Arabidopsis thaliana: one gene and its partner. The protein of the gene in region 2 purifies or fractionates together with the protein of the main gene of each other region. This does not show direct contact. Each region holds a gene or a part of one and is shown on either strand. Other genes may lie near its edges.

Region 1 (4,258 bases), on a different chromosome or scaffold from region 2:
CATGATTGGATTTGTGACAGGTGAATCCTGAGGCTGGGCAGTATCGGTTGAATCCTCCATCGTTCCTCGAGAAACTTGAGCTTATCTTTGAAGATAGTAACTTAGATGATGAAGGTACTTCAGGTAGCAAAAGGAAGCGAATAGCCAAGCATCGTGATGAAGATAATGATAATACTGGAGATGAAGAAGACACGCAAAGCGCTTCTAATTTCTCGAGTCCTCAGTCGAAAGGATACTGGTCACCGTCTTCACATGAGCTGTTTGTTGATTTGTTGTTCCAAGAGGCTTTAAAAGGAAACAGACCTGACTCACATTATCCAAAGGAAACTTGGAAAATGATCCTTGAGACTATCAATCAGAATACCGGTAAAAGCTTCACCAGACCGCAACTCAAGAATCATTGGGATTGCACCAGGAAATCGTGGAAGATCTGGTGTCAAGTGATTGGTGCTCCTGTCATGAAATGGGATGCAACTTCTCGAACATTTGGTGCTACTGATGAAGACTGGAAAAACTACTTGAAGGTATAAACGCTACTCGACTTTTTATATTAGTTGATTAAGTTTGCAGCTTAACATTGGTTCTTTGATTAACAGGAGAATCATAGAGCAGCACCATTCAGAAGGAAACAACTTCCTCACGCGGATAAACTAGCAACCATCTTCAAAGGACTTATAGAACCAGGAAAAGCCTATTTCCGTTCTTATCGCAGGAGAGTGCTTGATCATCATTCCGAATCACCACAGCTACATGACCCAACTCCATTATCAACACTTTACACAAACGAGCCAGTCTCAGGTAGTGAAGGTGGAGCTGATGAAGATGACAATGATGACGATGATGAGCAGCCTACTCCGCAGCACCGGAGATTTAACAGTGTTGGTTTTGCAGAGTCTCGGTTACAAGATGTTGAAATTGTAACTCCGGGATGCCACAGGTTAAAAACTGAGCTGATGAAGGAGAGTCCAGTGAGTGCATCGGTTAGGCAGTACGAGTATACCATTGGGGAATGCATTGAGTGTTTGGACTCCATGGAAGAGGTTGAGCAAGGTAGTGATCTTTACTTGTTTGCGTTGGATTTGTTTGTGAAGAAAGAGTACAGAGAGATTTTCTTGCTGTTGAAGAACTCAAGTTTGAGAATGTCTTGGCTGCTTAGACTTCGATCTGGTGGCCTTACCATTGCTGCCTAAGATCGTCATATTCTCCCAAACTTCTTCTGCTTATGTCTTATTATGCTAAACACTCTTGATTTATCTTTTGAACAGTGTGAGATGTTATATTATTAGGTTCCTTGAAAGATTTTATGACAGTCGAAATATTATAAGAGTTACTGGTTAACTTTTGTCGCAAGAAATTACTCTTGTCTCTATTGCAGATGAGAAATAAACTTCAAAGCATTCGTATCCTATCGTCTATGACTCTATGTAGCCTTCTCTTCTTCAAAATTAACTTAAGTTAAAAAACCTTGTACAGTTTGATTAGTTGATACAACCGATATACTTTTATTTGATTTTCTCTGTTTGCAGAAAGTAATTTAAAACTTATGTGAGCATCACAAGTAAAATGGAGAGATAGTGGGATTTAATGAGCTTTAGCTATTGAATCTGTCACACTTTCTAAAAATATTTTCCACCGACGCATAGATACTAAAACCAATCATCACTTAATTCCAGGTAAGAACTTAATCCTAAACAACCTCCTTAAGGAGACAAAATTAAGATATAAAAAGAGATAAATCGCGCCAGGTAGGGGTCGAACCTACGACCTTCTGCTTAGGAAACAGACGCTCTATCCACTGAGCTACAGGCGCTTTTGATTGTAATTATCAAAACATTATATTTATAACAAAACCATACAGTATGTCTCCGTGTGGACCAGAAAAAAGGCGATAGAACAAATTTGTCGTATTCCAAAGAATTAAATAATAGAATCAAATAGATCAATCAACTTTTTTTTTCTTTCTGAGAAAAATGAACCGCAAGAATCCGAGTGGAGTGGTGCCATTCGCTGTTCTCCAATCCAAATACGCCAAATCTTCCCAAAAATAAAGAAACCTTTCCTTTTCTTTCTCTTCACTCTGTTCCCATATCTACAGTGACTCTTCTCTCTCTGTATATTACTCTTCCTTCACTATCTCTCTCTCTTTACTGGGTCTTCTTCAGCTTCTGAGTCTTCTCCTCTCTCTCTATCTCTCAAGTGGGCTTTGCTTTGCTGTTTTTGTCTTCCTTCGACGACTCACTTTTGCAGATTCTCATAAATTCTTCAAAGCTTTGAGTCTTTTTTCAGATTCGAGGGTCGGTTTTATATATGCTTCAAATCTCTTACCCAAATCAGGTTCTTGATTCCCTCAGTATACGATTCTTCATTTTTCCTTCCCTTTTGTTTTTCTTCTTCTTTGATTCCTACTATATTATCATTAAACCTTATATATAAAAGCTTCCATTATTTCCTTATATCACAAATCTATCTTTTAAGCTTCCTCCACACATAGAGCAAGAAAATGGACTTTTTTGAGCTGTGTTTGTAGTTGAAACTTATTCTTCCCTTTTTTTGTTTTTAGGTATGGAGACTCTGCATCCATTCTCTCACCTACCTATCTCTGACCACCGGTTCGTTGTTCAAGAGATGGTGAGCTTACACAGCTCGAGTAGCGGTAGCTGGACTAAAGAAGAGAACAAGATGTTCGAACGAGCTCTTGCGATATACGCTGAAGACTCGCCTGATCGCTGGTTTAAAGTTGCTTCCATGATCCCTGGAAAGACTGTTTTTGATGTTATGAAGCAATATAGTAAGCTTGAAGAAGACGTTTTCGATATTGAAGCAGGACGTGTTCCCATTCCTGGTTATCCTGCAGCTTCTTCTCCCTTGGGGTTTGACACGGACATGTGTCGTAAACGGCCTAGTGGAGCTAGAGGATCTGATCAAGATCGAAAGAAAGGAGTCCCTTGGACAGAGGAAGAACACAGGTTAAGACACTCTTTCATCTCTACAGAATTCTTTCCATATAAGTCACTCTTCCTAGGTTCCTTGCAACGCAAGTCATCCCCTTTTTTCTTAGGGTTTTCAATGCTCTGTTTCTTGTTCCTTGCAGGAGATTCTTGTTAGGCCTTCTCAAGTACGGTAAAGGAGATTGGAGAAACATATCGAGAAACTTCGTGGTGTCAAAGACGCCAACGCAAGTGGCGAGCCACGCCCAAAAGTATTACCAGAGACAGCTCTCCGGAGCCAAGGACAAACGCAGGCCAAGTATCCATGACATCACAACCGGCAATCTTCTCAATGCCAATCTCAACCGTTCCTTTTCCGATCATAGAGATATTCTCCCTGATTTAGGGTTTATCGATAAGGATGATACGGAGGAGGGAGTAATATTTATGGGTCAGAATCTCTCTTCAGAAAATCTGTTTTCTCCATCACCAACTTCATTCGAAGCTGCCATTAACTTCGCCGGAGAAAATGTCTTCAGTGCCGGAGCTTAAGGCAACATAGAATCCCCAAACTCAGCGTTCTTAAGAATCTGAGTTTTGAAACTGTAATTAGAGAAATATAAGCAAAACCAAGTTTATTATATATGTATTGTGTGGTTTAAAAGTAAGAACTTGTTTTTACTCTGTATTTTTGTGTTTCTGTCTACTAAATACCTGTTATGTTAAAAAAAATCTGTGTTTTCTTTTCGATTAAATTATAGACTTATAGTTGTGAAAAAGAGTACTTGTGCTTTATGACAAGTTGATAACCCTAACAATTTACCACAATATATCTATTTTATGGTGTTAAATGCAAATTATAAAGATATACTGTAATAAAGACTTAAAGAGATTAAAAAAAAAAAAAAGACTCAAAGAGATCAAACACCACACAAAAATGAGAAATTTGTGAAACATGTTTTGGGTTAGATTTATTTAAGAAGATGGCTATAGTATAGTTTTAAATATTGAGTAAAGTTTTGGTGGAAGGTATGAAGAATTGATTTGAGTATAAAATAGAGGCTGAGTCTGCTTTCCACTTCTGACCAAAGAACCTCATTCTTCTCATCTATTACACCAACCTCCTGACTCATATATATATTAACGTATTTAGAATTACGTATAATGGTGTCATTTGTATAAAAAACATATATGAATGAAATGTTTATTTTATTTTTTAATCATTTGGTGCCCCAATCTAAACACTGCTCACATTTGAATTATGCAACTTGAAATAACTTTGATAAATTTATATTGAAACAACTTTGAAATATTATTTATCACAGTTCATA
Region 2 (5,536 bases):
TTGTGGAAGGTTTGATTTATGCTCATAAAGCTGGACTTGATGTTAAGAAGTTTCTTGAAGCGATTTCTACTGGTGCTGCTGGTTCTAAGTCTATAGATTTGTATGGAGATAGGATTCTGAAGAGGGATTTTGATCCTGGTTTTTATGTGAATCATTTTGTGAAAGATTTAGGGATTTGTTTGAATGAATGTCAGAGGATGGGTTTGGCTTTGCCTGGTTTAGCTCTTGCTCAACAGCTTTACTTGTCTCTTAAGGCTCATGGTGAAGGTGATCTTGGTACTCAAGCTCTTCTCTTGGCTCTTGAACGTCTCAACAATGTCTCTGTTCAATCATCTGACTCTTGATTTAGGTTCTGTTCCACTTTCTGATAATGCATCTGTTGGAGATTTTATGTTGTTATGAAGTAAAGATTTGATCTTTTGTGTACCCATTTGTTGGTAAAACATGATTTGAAGTAAACTTTTGTGTACGCATATGAGATTCATACACAGTAGTTTTATGTGTACTCAATGATGAGGAAAAATGAAATCTTTATATACTCAGAACTCCAGTGAAGTGAGCTTTGAATTTGTAGTTTTTACAACATATCTGGTTATAATAAAATCCCAGAATCTGAAGAACTGAGTCTTTTATTTTTGAAGAACATGAAAACAAATATTTCTCCCAAGGAAACTTATTTGCTACAAAGAAAGTCTTGGGGAAGAGTAAAAACATGGAATGCTTTCTTTTATGACGCCTTAGAACTTGGCTTAGGCGTTTTCTGATAGCGAAAAGCTTTCAGTAAATTACCGAAAAATGGCGCTCTTTGGGTAGGTTTTAAGAGTCTTCAAGGTAGAGAGAGTGAGAAGCAGCAAGAAGCGCAGCTCCAATGCCTGATCCATCATTGGAGTGAGTGACTTCAACGCTTCCTGAAGCTTCATCTCCAAGCAACTCTTTTAGTGAGCTCTCCATACACTCACTAAACTGAGTGTAATGCTCAAACAATCCACCATCCATGGCTATAACCGATTTCTGCACCTCCTCGTCTTTAGTAGTATCTCTTCCCAGTTTCTTCAGAATACCATAGATTCCAGCAGCAGAGAGACGAGCTCCTCGGGTTGCTATGATGTTGCAGAGACTGATCACAACTTTTCTCATTTTCAGAGAAGTTGTAGGGACCTCCAATATATCCTTAATCTTGCTCCCAACAATCTTCAAGTCTGGAGAAGTGTCGTTGTGCATAGCCGACATGTGAGGAGTCCTGCAAATGATTGTTGAACTTTAGACTAAAGCCCTTCCTCAAAGGATGAAACTTAGTAAAGAGTACCTAATGATGAATGGTATTCTCAGCTTAGATGGGACTGTATCGCCAAAGAAAGCAGCATCTTCAGCCATCTTTAGAAGAACTCTTCGCAAAATCTCTCCCAAGTACATACCGGAAATGATTTTCTCAAGAATCTGCAAAATGAAATTCCACATAGAAACTCATTCTCGAGACACCTCGTAGGTATTGGCATTTTGTAACAACAAACCGGGGTTTAAAAACTCGTACCTGTTCGCCTGGATTCAGACTCTCGAAATCCAGCGTGTGATCAAACTCGGTTAATGGAAGATGTGATGACCTGAAGTTTCCCCATTCCATGTTTATAACCATTTCTCCTGATTTTGGAAGCAGACCATGCCATTTAGGGATCGCGGTTGCACGCTCAACATAGGCTGCGTTTGTCCCAGTGCCTAAAATAACAGCAGCAACAACATCCGGGTTATAGTATCTACCACCGGCTAGTGTTCCAACGGTATCATTAACCTGTAAAACGTCAAAAACAAATCAACAAACACATGACAAAAGGGATTCACTAGAGAGCATAAGGCGAAAGAGAACTCACAAGTGCTGCGATTCGCATGTCAAGACCAACTCTTTCCAGAGCCTTATTAAGTGCTCCAACAACATCTTGTCCAACCTATGCAACAGGTTAAACAAAGATTAAGGCAAAGGCGAAAACTAAACATTTTAAGTGAAATAGTTGAACGAAAATCGAGCTTAACTGCTTCTTCGATGGAAAAGCCTTTTGTCCATTTGATGAGACTACCAGAGGACAGAGAAGTCTGCTTAACAGGAAACGAGAAAGTGAAACCTAATTCCCTCTGTCTACCTTCTGGAAGATGAAAGTCTTCGCATTCTGTAGCGACAAACTTCGCAAGAGCTTCAGCTATAAAATTGAACAACTCCTGAATCCATCAAAAGAACGCAAAAGAATCTTGTTACACAAAGATCATCTAAGACTAAACATGACAAATTGAAGAACAGAAAACTGACATCTGAACCACCAGTCATCAAATGAGGAGGAATCGAAACTTCTTCGAATTCTTGTTTAACAACACGCTCTTGCTTCCCGCCAAGAAGCACACGCATGACACGGAAGTTTGTCCCCCCTAGGTCCAATGCATAAAAGAGACCCTTTTCATCCCTGTTATATTAATGGTAGTAAATGTAAGACAGACCTACAACATGAAACTAGACGCATTGCCGCATTGGCTAACAATATTAAAGCGAAAATGAAACCGCACCAAAATGTTCTACGTAATATAACATAATCAATGCCATCATGCCATCTAATCACGAAGTCCATAAGACAAAAGTGATGTCTGTGGACAGACTTTTCAGACAAATCATATTCACATCACTGTCATTGTCTGCCTTAATGTAACTATGTATTAAACCTTAATCAAAAGGGCAATAACTCTCAAATCCATGAAAACAAATCTACAAAATCAAGAAGTGATACAACAAAACCTATAAGAAAATGAGACAATGATTCAGTGGGACATGATCTGGATTCCAAAAGATTCACTGATTCTGAAACAGTAGATCAATAATCCTATCTAATCGATCAATTTTGACCATTAAGAGACAATGCAATTACATCTCCAAATCAGGACGAAACTCATTTCATAACGTAATCCATATTACACAATCAACAACATTGAATGGATGACATATTAGGAGATAGAAATATTCTATCTTCTAATATGACAAAGATTGAAAATTTCAATGAAAAGCAACAGAATTTGAATCCAATTAGAAAACATTACCCGGAAGGAAGATTATCAACGTAGCTGATAAGCATCTTGAGTTTGCTACCACCGTCGGATGCAAGACCAGCATGCATCTCAACGGTCATAGCATCAGCCACTTGTCTCAGTTTCGAGATCGGAGTCGCACAATCCTCTTCAAAGGCCTTGAGGATAGCCAAAACACGTCCCCACTTCCCTGAGCTCTGCATCCGTCGTCGAACAACCAAAACAGCCACCGCACAAACCGCCGCCGTGCAAACAACAGTCGCTCCAACAGCTACTTTACCCATTTTTCCGATTTGGAATCAAAAACAAAACGAATCTAAAAGAAAGATCGGATTTTTACGATTCCGATCGCAAAAGCAAGGATTACAAATGACTAAAATTGACAAGCCAGAAAGAAGAAATAATCAAAATTTTGGAGTGAATTGAGAGAAATTAGAGAAACCTAAGATGGATCTAATACCGATCTACTCGAGCTTGGTGGGTTCGTCAAAAACAGTGTAGAAACCACGTAAGCGAGAGCTTCTCTCGTTCTTGTCCGTAAAGTATGGAAAAACAAAACAAGAAGTGGTAATAGAATCTGTTGAAATGACGAAATTAACCTTTTGTCTAATTTCGGTTTTTATCCTTTTCTCCACCTAAGTTTCTGGTAGCACCAATCATTCTCAAACCTCTAATCAACCACATGATAATTGCACATTCTTTTTTCTTTGTCCTTTTAATTCTTAGCATTTTTTCTGTCAGAAGATTAAAAATGCTCAATCGTAAGAGATAATGGCTCTACATAATATAAAATAATATAGATAAACAATGTTTTTATCAGTAGATAACTAAAACAAATAATTTACAGACAAATATGATGTGGATTATCCACTTCTTTTTGTTTAGATAAAAGGGATTATCCATATCATTATTCAATTTGTATAAATATGTTATTCAATTTGTATAAAATCATTAAAGTTTATATCGATGGTAAGAAACAAATAGTTTGGTCGCACGCTTACTGGATCTGACGACTTATTTGGGCCGGGTCATAATGTTATTCTATTGTGTAACATTAAGGCCTGAGTTAAAAGTCTTTAAAGTCGGTTCATTTACTCCAATTGAAAGTAATGGACCTTCTAAAATAAAATCTATACCAAGCCCATTATTAATATAGCAAATTTACAACCAAATTTGCTATTAAAAAAAGGTAGTCAAGATTACTAATAGGGTTACAGGGTGTACTTAGTACTTACACTATATACATGTTGAACAATGATATTAAATTATTTTCTTAGAGGTCTTACAAGTCTTAAATTTTTGATGTTTTGATAAAATCTTCTTCCAACGGATTATAATCAAAAAAGTAATACACTATCATATTGTATGTCCGTGTGGGAACAACAATTTCTGCATCATTAGATTCTCCATTATCTCATTTTTAAAAAATCTAATCAATCTTTAAATTGTGCTCTTATAGTATTTTTGCAATAGTTCCTGAGTACATCAGATAACTTTTTTTTTTCTTTACAAGTCAACTCTCAATTATGGTTACGAATATTATTAATTCTAATTGTTGTTCTTATGACTAATAGTAGTATTTATCAGATATTAGAAGAAATAGCTGGTAACTTATTTCAACTCATTAGTGGTCCCAATCCAGTTCACTAATGTTGTTTTGATATGATTAACCTTTGATTAAGAAGATCACTGAATAAATTTAGATACTCTAGATATCATATAATATAATTATATTTATATACAAATAAAAAGCATGTATCATTACATGAAAGAAAAGGTATGTATACCCCCACACGTTTGCTTTTGACCAAAATATAGGTGGGGAAACGAAATACTAATAGCAATGCATGTCTCTGATTATTACCGCATGTTCGATATTTGACGACATCATAAAAATTCATTTTCCGATGGTAAAAACTGAGAGAGGATTACCATCACGTATTTGTTTTTCTGTTAAGAACCCAATCCAAAGAATCAGAGTGGAAAAGTTAATCGAACAATAGCAAAATCTTAGAGAAACTTTTTTTTTTTTTTACTATAGTTTAATTTTGTTCAAGTATTCATAAACTATTAATAACTGTAAAAATTTGGATGAAACCGGAACCATGTATAAAAACCGGAACGGACTACATTGTGGAGCGGCTAAAATGTTGCAGATGTGTGTTGTTGATAAATGCTAGACGTGAAAAAACTTTAATGATTTTTCTATCTATCGATTTAAGGTGATTTCAAACACTAATATAATGTTTATAATCAATTAGTACATACATTAAAAGTTGAGCATTAATTTTCGAACAACAATTAGAGGAGACTAATGATGTCGACCCCTCAAAATCTTATCCAGATCTTATTTTCATCATTAACAATTATCTGATTTTAGTTAATTACATTAGTTTTTTTCCGCTGAACATAATTATCTTTAATATTACTCAAAACAAATACTCCAGTATATATGGTTACATAACATTATTGGCAT

What was found.
Region 1: the proteins of HXK1 (region 2) and AT3G11280 purify together in Arabidopsis thaliana (affinity purification with mass spectrometry, with the first as the bait; one study listed by BioGRID). This does not show direct contact.

The regions. Positions count from the first base shown.
Region 1 is NC_003074.8:3,532,698-3,536,955, reverse strand, and holds AT3G11280 (Duplicated homeodomain-like superfamily protein), read left to right. Parts: upstream 1-1,961; 5' UTR 1,962-2,334; exon of another isoform or gene 2,335-2,560; 5' UTR 2,561-2,562; coding exon 2,563-2,966; intron 2,967-3,091; coding exon 3,092-3,479; 3' UTR 3,480-3,745; downstream 3,746-4,258. Other genes in the region: AT3G11290 (Myb/SANT-like DNA-binding domain protein), read left to right, coding at 21-524, 597-1,190.
Region 2 is NC_003075.7:14,351,522-14,357,057, forward strand, and holds HXK1 (hexokinase 1), read right to left. Parts: upstream 3,681-5,536; 5' UTR 3,345-3,680; coding exon 3,073-3,344; intron 2,448-3,072; coding exon 2,297-2,447; intron 2,209-2,296; coding exon 2,026-2,208; intron 1,941-2,025; coding exon 1,866-1,940; intron 1,787-1,865; coding exon 1,532-1,786; intron 1,438-1,531; coding exon 1,307-1,437; intron 1,241-1,306; coding exon 817-1,240; 3' UTR 516-816; downstream 1-515. Other genes in the region: AT4G29120 (6-phosphogluconate dehydrogenase family protein), read left to right, coding at 1-344. UniProt on the Arabidopsis thaliana protein: Fructose and glucose phosphorylating enzyme. May be involved in the phosphorylation of glucose during the export from mitochondrion to cytosol. Acts as a sugar sensor which may regulate sugar-dependent gene repression or activation.